Xenopus tropicalis: one gene and its partners. The protein of the gene in region 3 binds, or shares a complex with, the protein of the main gene of each other region. Links are inferred from orthologs where the notes say so. Each region holds a gene or a part of one and is shown on either strand. Other genes may lie near its edges.

Region 1 (4,220 bases), on a different chromosome or scaffold from region 3:
GTAATATTAAAGAGCAGAAGCATGAAGTGGAATAGGGATTTGAATAAAACCGAGAAGCCTGTAACTGTTTTGTCGCATGCTGTATCCCATAAAATACCATAAGTTCCTGGTTTTAAATTGATACTGAAAATTAAAAACTACTCAAACTATTAATGTACATTAATAAGTATTAATTAGTAAGCCTGACTGTTTTGCTGACCTGACTGTCACTTCTCAACTTGTCTGTTATAGCTTCTTATGTTGATCAAGTGGGATCAGATAGGTAATATAAAAGCATTGGGCAAATACTCTTAAGGAAACCATTATAAATAGCATCCAAATACAATGTTATGACAGATGGTTTAAATTCTGGTGTCAGTAACTCTTTAAGATTTTCCTACTAATGCTCCAACTGATAAATAGATCACCAGGATAAGAAAATGGGGTGAAAGTTCTTAAGTGTGGTGAGTTAATAGCAGATGATTTTATTTTTATTAAGTTCTACATTTTCTATGAAAAAAATGCTGTCCTTCCTATATGCTATATATACAGGGTGTTGCTTTTTATAGAAAAATATAAAATTATTTGAATATTGGTGATTTCAAAACACTAGTTATCTTTGATCCCTAATAACACTAACAATAGGTAAATGATTAGATTTAGGCACAGGCCTCGACTAGGGTTCAAAATAGGCTATAGAATTTCAGGTACACAGAGGCCCAAACAGCCCCCCACAAGCCCACTAAATAGTGACTATCTACAGCATGTTACAGCAGCCCCTCTGGCAGTTGCCAGAATCCACACATTGCCAGTCTGGGCCTCTATGGGCCCAACCGTGTGCAAACAAAAATGAAGGGATGTCACCTGGCTGGAATTGTACCATGACATTTAGTAAAAATTACACTTGTCAATGCAAAGTCAAAGCAGCTCTAGTTTCCTGGGTTTCATTTTGACCAGGGAATTAACGTCCTGGCATTTTAGGTCTTGGTGGATGTGTTCCAAAACTTATTTTCCTCTCACACAACTAAAAATACAGGTAGGTTATTTGGCTCAAGATGAAACTAACTAAAGCAGGTATATGTGGTATTGACTATTCCACTGAGCATTGTCTACAAACAATCTTGGCTCTTTCCCTTCTTCCACCATTTTACACACCGATGAACTACCACCTAGTTTTATATTATTTTATTAAAGTATATTTAAAATAATCATCCATTCTTCAATAATAAAAACCACTCCTAATCCCACAGCCTAAAGTTTCTCTTCTTCTAAAGAACCTCGGCCAAGCAAAAACAAAAGTGAGTATAGCGCAAACTGACAAAAATACTACAATCCCCATAGTGCCCTGCGGCATTAAAAGGCGTTGACATCGGAAGTGCGAGCAGCCAGCGCATGCGCCAAGCAGCTGCTGTTCTCCTTTTCTGTTCTGCAGCTCCTGACTCGGCGCCATATTGTCTGGGAAAAATAGTCATCCGTTGCTGAGGCCTTTGCGTTCGTGAAATCGAAAATATGTTGTACCTGGAGGATTATCTGGAGAGTGAGTTTGCCTTTCGTGCTATGAACGGCGCAAAGTGCGCCACAGAGAGGGCTACGGCTTTAATCAGCAACACCCCCTATTAACCGCCCTCTCCCCCTCCCTTCTGTCTCTCTGCAGTGATCGAGCAGCTTCCCATGGATCTGCGCGACAGGTTCACGGAAATGCGCGAGATGGACTTGCAGGTGCAGAGTACGTGAGCGGCTTTCGGCTCTTTATCCGACGACTAACGGGTGTATGTGTGTGGCCTGGTGACTCCAGGCCCGGAAACATGTGGTTGTGTCGGTGGCAGAGGTAGCGCCAGCAGCTAAAGCACCATGTACATCCAGTGCAGTGCTGTGGTTGGTCGCTAGGAGGAAGTACTGAGCTGTCTCACACGTGCCCTTTTAGCACCAAAACAAATCCCAATTGCTTGCCCAGTATTGTACATCGGTGCGTCGAGCAGGCAATATTAGATACTCAGCATCTTGATTTGTAAAATAAAACGCAGTCTACAGTGTGTCTGTTTGTTTCCCACAGATTCATAGTATTCAGAAACTCGTTTTGTATCACTAGGGGTTCATCACAATAAAGTTTATATTGTTTTGTTATAATTGAAAACTCAAAATGGAGGAAACACTCTATAGCTCAGGGCTATAGCCCCCTTTGGAATTGCTAAGTTAGAGTTAATGAATTGAACATTAAAGGCATAATGACCTGAAATAAAGTGTGCCTTTGTCCTTGCACAATTTGTACTAAACCTGTTTGTTAGGTTTCATCTGCTCCATTATCTGCTGTGCCTTTCAGCAGGGATTACTGTCAAGTAAACTTTATTTTTGCTCCAGATACTGATTCCTCTTCCTTGTAAATAGGTTCATTTAACTTATATATAGCTATAAAACAAGATGTTCTACATGTCATGCATCATTATTTTGCAGCTGTGTGCAGTGTTCCCTATAGTTTGTGTAAGGTCTGCAAGCAAATACTTTATTTTATGCTCATGGGTGATGGGTTAGGGAGGGCCAGCCTTTCTCAAAAAAGAGAGAAACTGACATATAGCATATATAGCTTTAAACTGTCTCATGGAAAGCCATCTATTGGTAGCCTCAACAAACATACAAAAAACTCACTCTTTTCCCCTGTTTGTATTAGTTCTAAAACAATTGTGTCCAAGCAGGTGCTGAATTACATGCACAGTCGCTAAATCTGTTGTGTGTTTTGGTGGGGTTGTACCATCTGTGCACATAGTGTCAGTGGAATATTGACTGTATGAAGATGTGCTTGTATCAGAAATCGGCATACAACTTTTAAGGTTAATTTATAATCAACTTCCAACATACAATATTAAAATTCACAGTAAAGATAAGGTTGAAGATTTGAGGTTTGTTGCTTGAAATTTGTAATTGATTCTTTGTAATACAGATGCCATGGACCAATTAGAACAAAGGGTTGGGGAGTTTTTCATGAATGCTAAGAAAAATAAACCGGAATGGAGGGAAGAACAAATGGCTTCTATCAAAAAGGTTAGTGCAAAAAGAAAATTTGTTGTATCTGTAGCAAACTATTTATACAGAGGTATCCAACTTTGAATTTATTGACTACACAAGGAATGATTTATCTTTATTCATTCTTGACATATTTTGCACTTGAGAGATGTTGCAGAACGTTTCTGAACTTTTAATTCTCCTGCATTTATTATTCATCATTTCAATTTTTTATGCATTAAAACATCCAAGACATTTTTTGACAACTGCACAAGGTTCTGTAAGAAGTCAGACTTCGACTTCAAACTTTCGAACGTTTACAAAAAATTGTTGCTTAGAATTACATTTTCTTTACTTGGCAAAATATTATTTTTTGGCTTAGATCCCCTTCAAATGTATGCAGTTTATTTGCATATGGTGTTATTTTTTGTTATGTGTTATATTTTGACAAGTGTAATAATTAATATTTACTTGAACAAATAAGCTTATATAACTTTATATAGTGCTTGTAAATTCTGAGCTATATGTATCTTAAAGGACCAGTAACATCAAAAAGTGACAATATATTCTTATATTCATTTCAATTGTGAATTTGTTGATGAAGCACCTCCAAATAAAAATTTATTTGCAACATTATGTTTTATATGTCAGAGGTTTCAGTATATTGTTCAGTAGCGAGCCATAACTGACATCTGTCTCCTGTTTATCTTTGTACTAGTGAAGGATAACAGTACATTACGTTTAAATGCATGTATTTTTGGTGTTACTATTTTTTTGGTACATTAATTTTACAAGTAGGTATCATTGGTAGATCCTGTACAGTACAAGATGGCAGCTGCATACTCTTTACATTATTACTTTAAATTATTAAATATATTGTTTGGTATTTCATTATGCTGAATATAACATTTAAGGAGGGGAAACAGTACAAATAATTCATGCAAAAAGGTATGGCAGTTTGAGATTTGGTTGTCATATACATTTGCATATGTATTGTGTGTATTTTACCTATTTTTAAACTTCCATATATAATAAAAAGGTTGCCCATGTGCAGCCCATAAAATGTCTGCGTTTAAACAGATGATCAGTAAAAAAAAAAAAAAAACTACCTAGTGACTTATCACTGAGTGCTACTGTCCCAGGCCAAATTTAGTACCTTTTAGTACATAACACCATATGAATTTTTGACTTAGTGTGAATTATTTACTTGCAGGATTACTTCAAAGCTTTGGAAGATGCAGATG
Region 2 (4,234 bases), on a different chromosome or scaffold from region 3:
ACATTAAAAAAGAAAGCCAATAGCTCTGCAGTGCACACAACACTGAGTAATACATCTTCCTTTTGTGTACAGAAAAGAAAGAAAAATCTGAACTTGATAAAATAATTTTCCCTGTGAAAATGTTTTCACAATAATTATTTACATTGATTTTCCAGTAAGTATTAAAAGTACGTGCAGAGAGAAGCAAAGTTTGCTTTGTTGTTACTGCAATTTTACAACTTGCTTTAAAGAAACATCAACAATTTAAAAAGTGTTTTAAAGTAATTAAAATATAATGTGCTGTTGTCCTGCACTGGTAAAAGTTGTGTGTTTGCAATTGTATAGCCACGGGGGAAGCAATTCAAGCTGAGCAATTGAGAAAATGCACAGCAGATGAGGTCTGTAAGATACAATGGTGTTTTACAGAGCTTAACTGTTATAGCAATGTAACCTGTGCCATTTAGCCCTGTTTCAATTTGAATAGCTACCCCCATGGCTACACAGCAGCTTTGTTTAAATAAACTGCAGAAGCGTTTCTGCAACAACAGACAACTTTTACCAGTGCAGGGCAACACTGTTCCTTCAACTAGAGCACATTGAGAGAAATGGCTCATCATTTGCACATATCCCTTTTTCTTTGAACATAAAATCACTTTACATACCCATTCCTGATTTGCCATCTGGGTATGTGTAAACCTGCCCATTGTTTTTGATAATGGGCAGACTGGATGGCAAGGGGGCGACTTCCTCTTCACTCTCATCCGAGCTGGAACTGCTGCTGGTGTCCTCACTGCAGCTATCATATCCGTCAAACATTCCGAATGAGTCCCGACGTTTTCTCTCAGAAAGTGAAGAAAGATCAGCCTAAACATGTATAAAAGAAAAAAGGAATTTCAATTGACTTTATAGCTTTGGTTGCTGTTACCAAACCCAACTTCTAGATGGATTTCTAGTTGCTATATTCTCTGCCCCAAGCAACCTTTCCTTCACTGGAAAGACTTCAGCAGGGGCCAAAATGCAAACCTGTATTTTCTTACATATATTATAGGAAAAAGACACTCATACTGGGTTGAGTAATTCTGGAATGGCTCTGTGCAATGAATGTTTAATGGAGATTGATGGGAAGCAGAAGAAGCAAAATATCGCTCTAGCACAGAAACCATAGCAACTTGTTTTTGCTTTCATTGCGATAATTACAATAAAAAAATCCCATGTGAATATGCCGATTTTGTTCTTCAGAAAAGGTAGGTTGGTCTAGGATCCTCCCCTTCTCTGCAAGAACTGGTTGCCTTTCTAGTTTGACTAGTTTAGCTACATAAGCAACCTTAAGGCAACATTACTGGATACAAACACAAAGATTTCTACATGAACATCTCACTGAATAAAACAGGATAAAAGAATAAAATAAAACCCATCCTTTCTTCCCTATTGGCATCAAGCATCTTCTTAATTACCAGGTGACAATGCCAATCTCAATTCCCATAAAGAAAGCGACAAAACCCAGCATCATTTTGAACTACTGATTTGTGGAATTACTGGCTCTACAACATAACTACAACAGTCAAGGTTTAATAATGCACTAGTACAGTACACAGACTTTAGCCTTGACTAGCATATGTGATTCTGACAAATGAAATAAGTATGCACTATTTAAAAGTGTGTAAAAAAATCTTTACATATTCTAACAATTTCTGGCTTCTAATAATAACAGATAGGTAATACAAATGAACCAACACAGAAGAGGCAAACAAATGGCTGGGTTGATAGCTGGAACCCACATTGTTAGCCTGGTTCAGGGCTGTGTGCAGAGACTGGAAGTTGAGAATTCAAAGAACAACATTGAAAACAAAATAAACTGCTTCCACAGTGAAACTGAAGACTGTCTTTTAGCCTTCAGCCCTAGTGTCAGGTTAGTGCCTTATAACCATAAATCACACACTCACACACAGCAAAGAACTTCTATTACACTCTGTGGAAGCAGCTATGGGACCCACTTGTTTGGCAAGGTTGCCAAAACATTAAACTGCTAATTGCTCAGAAGCATTTGCAGATTAGGGACAATGGGTTACAAAATTAGTGTAAAACAGACGTTATATTTATGAATTCCCCTAATAAATGTATAGCACACAAAGGCCTTTCATTACTTCCCACACTGATCATCAGTCTGCCTATTTTTTTGCCTAATGCACAACATAATACACTTTCAAGAGCAACTTGAGCTCCTATGCATGCGTTGCTGAATTATTGTGTGGAATGCACCATATATGAACACATAGGCATAACTTTACTTTTAATAGTTACTAAGTCAACAAAGTGGCAAATGAGATGGAAGGTGTGTATAATTCCTATCTGTTGGGCTTTGGTACCAATTCCCTACCTTTACCTTACTGAGCATCATGAGTGTACATGTAGAAAGTGCAAGCATACCAACAGCAGTCAGGCTGAGAGCTGGAGTGTTGAGTTTAACATGCCTATATCCTGCTGGCTTGCTATACCCTCTTCTTAAGGACTTTATTGTACATGAGGCTTAGTGTTAAACACATTTTGTCCGGTTTCCAAACGCACGGTACCCTGGCCCCAGCCCAAACTACCCTCACTTCCCAGAAACCACAAGGCCTCGTTGCATACAGAAATGACAACAAAAGAGCCAGGGCAGCAGCACTTCCATACACCCCGTGCCCTTTACTTACCAGATCCTTGGTCTTTTCCATTAGTCCCTCATGAGGAAATCGTGTATGCAGCCCCCGCTGTCAGCGGGCTGGGACAATCCAAGAAAATAGAGACTAAAAAAAGAGCAAAACAATGAACTCCTTCAAAATATCAACAAAACCAGAAACACTTTACTGCGCAGGCGCAACGCTAAACCTACAGCAATTGGCTGCGGGTTTATATAGTAAGAGCCGTGCCTCCGCGAATAACCTAGTTTGGCACGTTTCGGGTGCCGTGGCTTCCGGTGGCTTGTAGCTATTACGGAAGTACTTAGAACGTCGGAAAGTGCTAAAAACGGATTGTTTCACGTAGCGGTGCAGTAAGGGCTTTTTCGGATATACAAGTTTAAGTACACTCGAAAGGTACAAGGTAAATTATCTTGCTGCGTCTCTTTCGCTAGAAACATGTATTTCCGGGTTGTAGAGGGCAAAGGTCACCGGAAGTTCCACGTGCGTTGGGCACAGTGAGTGGAACGTTCAGCTTTATATCTGCGAAAGAAAACGGTGTCTTGTGCATGTTTTATATTGGCATTTGCACACGTTGTTGAGACTCAAGAGGCACGTCCCTCCTGTTTACTTGCTAAGCATTTCTATTTTTGCCGTCAGGTTTTTTTTTTGGAATTGTATATTGTATATTGCAAACTAGCCAGATTGATACGGTTACTACTGTATCTCTTAAAAATACGGTTCACTCATAAAAACACCTATTGCAGAAGTGATCAGTTATTATTTTAGAAGAATACAGATTAGCAGCCAGCATTCACCTCTCATTTTGTGTATTTCATATGTGGGCATTCTGCTAGAACTGGTAGTTAACCTTTGCAATGACTTTTATTATTATTATTATATCATTAGTTTTGTTTAGCAGCAATATAGTTGGGAGTTTTAGCAGCTATCTGGTTGCTAAGGTCCAAATTACCTAGGCAACTTTTTAACTATTACCTATTAGCAACTTTTTGCGTAAACATTAGCTCTGTATCAATTTATAACATGGCTGGTTTGTATTAGCAACTGGAAGATGGCATACTAGGGGAGATTAGTTACTTGTGGTAAATCTGTGCTGCCACAGGGACTAATCTGAAAGTGCTTTGGGTTACTTTTTAAGAAACTACTATGTTTTTGTTGAACTTTTTGAGTAAACATTAGCTCTGTATCAATTTATAACATGGCTTGTATTTAGATAATTTAAAATGAGTTTTTATAACTTTAATGTTTTTTTATTTATGCTGGTTTTACAGATTCTGCTGTGGAAATGCTTTCTATCGAGGGTAATGAAAATGAAAGAAAGAAGACTTCCCATAAGAAAAGGCGAAGAGACAAATCTCCAGAGCAAGAGCAAAACATGAAGGAGGAGGAGGAGCTGAGGACCAAACATTTAAAGGCTTTGGCAGACAAACCAGAGACAGATACGATTTTAGAAGAATTAGTTTTTGGGGGTGAAGATGAATTTGTGGAAAAGCTTATTGGTCATTCAAAGGTAATAGTACTCTCTAATAGCAATGTGTTAGGCTTCCCCACCAGTGAATCTATCTCCGACCTTACACCCC
Region 3 (3,500 bases):
CCCCATTTAAGTTCTAGCCTGTACTTGTTGCTTTTGCTACAGGTGCCTGACTCTGTGCTGAAGTTCCTTGCTTATTTAAATTATTTCTAGAGTGCTGTGCAATATGATTTGTAACTGGTTTTTAAACATAACCAGCTATATGAGCACAATGTTGGATGAGGAGCTCCACCTACTGGTTGGCACAGGCAAATTCACCTCAGCGCAATAACACAACTTTATTCAGCCTGATTACAGCTTGAAACGGTTTAAGTAGGGTACAGTGTACATCTGGTGGCTTCTGTTAATATTAAATGCTTACTACTATACTATTTAATTTTTTGGGGGAAAAAATAGCCAAAATAGGGTTAGCATACATTTTTGAAACCATTTTTATTGATTTTTTTTTTTATTTTTTTTAAATTAAGCACTATTTTAGTAGCCGTTTTTTTCTCTCTTTATTCAGGTATAACTTAGGGGACTTTAATGGCGAAATTCTATCAGAGGTTATGGCACATCGTCAACCATTGAAGCCCACCTATACTATCCCCCTCATGCCTATTTCTCCTATTCCATTTTTACATAAAGAAACAATAGATATTAAAGTTAATAAGGTAAGATTTGTTTATTTCACATAGTGTTTTTAACATTACCTTAATACTGGATTTTGTGGGTTCATGAATTTACAGACCATTCAGGAAACATGTTTCATTTATTAGATATATGCAAACCACTTGACCTGGTTAACTGCCTTGTCCTACTGTGACAAATTAAACGTGACCTTAGAATACAGCCACTCAGCACGGGAAACAATTTAAATACAACATCATCGAAGCTACAGGATAAAAAGATAGAGAAAAAGAATTATGCACTCACCATTTTTATTTCTCCGTATAAAGAGAATATATCTTTATAGTGGCTAATATATAATGTTTTGTATTGGTTTCCTGGTGAAGGCACATTTTGTGGAACTAGTGATAAGCGAGGATATTAATTGTGAGCAGTTCACATAAGCAAAGCACAGTTCTATCTTATAAATGGCGATTATTATAGACTGATGTCTGTAACAGTTATTAAATAACTGAATTCATATTTTAAGACCATTCAAATTCATTTTAGCAAGAAAAATCTGATGCTGTTCGACCGAAAAGAAAATATGAGAAGAAGCCCAAAGTCTTACCTGCTGCTCAACAGACAAGTCCTGCTGCACTGCCAGTGTTTAATGCTAAGGATCTGAATCAGTATGACTTTCCCAGCTCTGATGATGAACCTCTCTCCCAGGTATGCTGCTTTTATTATTTCAGGCTTCAATAAGTGTAATTGTGCCTCTTGAGACAGTCCTTTTGGGGGACATGCAGTGGTTGTTGGGGGCTAAGTAATGTAGGTGAGATTTGAGGTAAGGTTTTAGTTATTGGCTAGACACTCCTAAAACTGTTGCACACCTAATGTTAGTCTGTCTATAAAGATGTACGCACACACCGGTTTCTTGCATAAGTTTTATTAAGTGTTACATCACATTCCCGATTACATCCGCTAGTGAAATAATAAGATCTTCACAAAGCAGTGAAAGGCAAATGTTCAGGAAAGCTGTCAAAATAAGTCATTGCAATGAGTAATAGGAAATGTTGAGCATGATCTTCACTGGTGTTTTTTTCTGGTTTCTTTACCAGGTCATGTCTGGCTCCTCAGAGGCTGAGGAAGAAAATGATCCAGATGGTCCATTTGCTTTCCGTAGGAAAGCTGGCTGTAATTACTATGCTGTAAGTAACAGTCCTCATGCCTATACACAGACAAGTGGTGTTTGTTGTATACTAATAATAAAGGTTTTCCTCCTTGTAATTCCAAGCCACATTTGGACCAAACTGGCAACTGGCCATGGTGTAGTCCTGAGGAAGGAGGTCTTGGAGAAATTCGCTATAGATACTGCCTCACTACTCTCACTGTTCCCCGCAAGTGTATTGGATTTGCGCGAAGACGGGTTGGACGTGGTGGAAGGTAAGATATCTTGTTAAATACATTATAGCTGCTTTATCATCTGTAAGGTTACCGTAGTGACGGCTATATACTTTGTTGGCCCAGGTAATTACAGATGAGGTAATTTACCTAAAAATCTGGTTGTGCCAATGTGTGTCTCCTCTTTTAAAGGAGAAGGAAAGGTAAAAACCAAGTAAGCTTAATCAGAAAGGTCCATGTAAGTACACCTCACTCACATAAAAGCTGCACTGAGTCTTCTATCAAAAGAAACTCAGAAATTCTTTTTTTTTTATTGTTTAAACTTGTTCTTTGCTATCTCACTTCCTCTCGGAAAAAAATCCTTCAGAGCAGGGCACAAGTCTGTGCACCTCGCTCCCCCTCCCAACCGTGCTGTGTAATCTAAGCTACCAGCAGCTGGAGCTGCAGCACGGAAACTACTGAGACCAAGCTAAATTGGCAGCTACTATCTCAAAAAAAACAGAGGGAGCTTCTAGGGCTGTTTACTCTGATATGGTAAAGCTTTTTGCAGAACAAATATAGCGTTCTAGCTTGCACTAATGTGGCGAAAATATTTGCTGTAAAATGTCAAAATACCTTTCCTTGTCCTTTAAGGCTGGGCCAGCTAGGCATGAGAGCAAGTGGCAGAATGTGAAGCACCATATATCATTTATTTTGTCTGGAACTGCACCACATCCCTTTACATTTTATACTTTCAAAACTTTGTTTCATGCACCTACCTATGTTTAATTTAGAAGAAGATTTTAAATATTGCTCTATTTCCTATTTTTTAGAAACAGAATGCTTAAGTGTAATTAATACTGTCTCTTATTAAAGGACATGTAAACTCCACACACACAAATTTAATCAGTGAACAGCCTCTTTGAAATCTTTCAATACCTGCCACACTGGTTGTCCAGAGGTTAATAGTAAGGCTGCAACATCCCCTTAATCACTTAGATTTCCTTCTCCTCCTGTAACCCACTCAGCCCCCGCCCTCAGGAATTTGCTTTGGCTGTTGGCTTGTGGACATGCTCAGATTACTAAACACGCCCCCCAGTCTAGCAGCCAGTGAAGAGATGGCATTGCTGCTTCCTATAGAAACTCAGCTCTAGCTGTCTGCTTCAATTGTTTTCTCCTGAGCTCAGCTTTACCATTACAGTGCTCAAACAAAGCAGAACTTTTATCAAAGACATTTGTGCCTGTGTGAGCCTGTATCCTTGATGAAATGTATGCTGAATAAGAGTTTTTGTGTGTGTAGGCTGTTTGCAGATTTAAATGTATCAGAGAAATAATGGCCACCAGGTGAAAGCTGCTATTTGGTTTAGGAAAATGTGATGGTGCTGGCAAACGGAGGGGATATATGCAGTACAAATGATGCCATTTGGGTGGGGAAAATGTGCCCAACTGATAGACATTGTAGGCAAATGTAGGCTTTACATGTCCTTTAATGCAATCAAAGCTTGTTTTCAGTCTGTTTATAATTTGAGGGTTAAACTCTATTTCCCAATCTTTGTTTCTACAGGGTGCTCCTTGACAGAGCCCATTCAGAC

Evidence for each region.
Region 1: epc1 (region 3) and ing3 share a complex: the UniProt entries of both Homo sapiens proteins name them as parts of the nuA4 histone acetyltransferase complex. The link is inferred for Xenopus tropicalis from reciprocal best matches to the Homo sapiens genes EPC1 and ING3.
Region 2: epc1 (region 3) and mbtd1 share a complex: the UniProt entries of both Homo sapiens proteins name them as parts of the nuA4 histone acetyltransferase complex. The link is inferred for Xenopus tropicalis from reciprocal best matches to the Homo sapiens genes EPC1 and MBTD1.

What each region holds. Positions count from the first base shown.
Region 1 is NC_030679.2:69,340,180-69,344,399, forward strand, and holds the start of ing3 (inhibitor of growth protein 3), read left to right. Parts: upstream 1-1,420; 5' UTR 1,421-1,488; coding exon 1,489-1,516; intron 1,517-1,633; coding exon 1,634-1,705; intron 1,706-1,756; exon of another isoform or gene 1,757-2,804; intron 2,805-2,914; coding exon 2,915-3,015; intron 3,016-4,189; coding exon 4,190-4,220. UniProt on the Homo sapiens protein: Component of the NuA4 histone acetyltransferase (HAT) complex which is involved in transcriptional activation of select genes principally by acetylation of nucleosomal histones H4 and H2A.
Region 2 is NC_030686.2:23,317,743-23,321,976, forward strand, and holds the start of mbtd1 (MBT domain-containing protein 1), read right to left. Parts: upstream 2,801-4,234; 5' UTR 2,691-2,800; coding exon 2,670-2,690; intron 844-2,669; coding exon 642-843; intron 1-641. Other genes in the region: utp18 (U3 small nucleolar RNA-associated protein 18 homolog), read left to right, coding at 3,940-4,164. UniProt on the Homo sapiens protein: Chromatin reader component of the NuA4 histone acetyltransferase complex, a multiprotein complex involved in transcriptional activation of select genes principally by acetylation of nucleosomal histones H4 and H2A.
Region 3 is NC_030682.2:22,943,313-22,946,812, forward strand, and holds part of epc1 (enhancer of polycomb homolog 1), read left to right. Parts: intron 1-442; coding exon 443-590; intron 591-1,095; coding exon 1,096-1,257; intron 1,258-1,646; coding exon 1,647-1,736; intron 1,737-1,822; coding exon 1,823-1,971; intron 1,972-3,472; coding exon 3,473-3,500. UniProt on the Homo sapiens protein: Component of the NuA4 histone acetyltransferase (HAT) complex, a multiprotein complex involved in transcriptional activation of select genes principally by acetylation of nucleosomal histones H4 and H2A.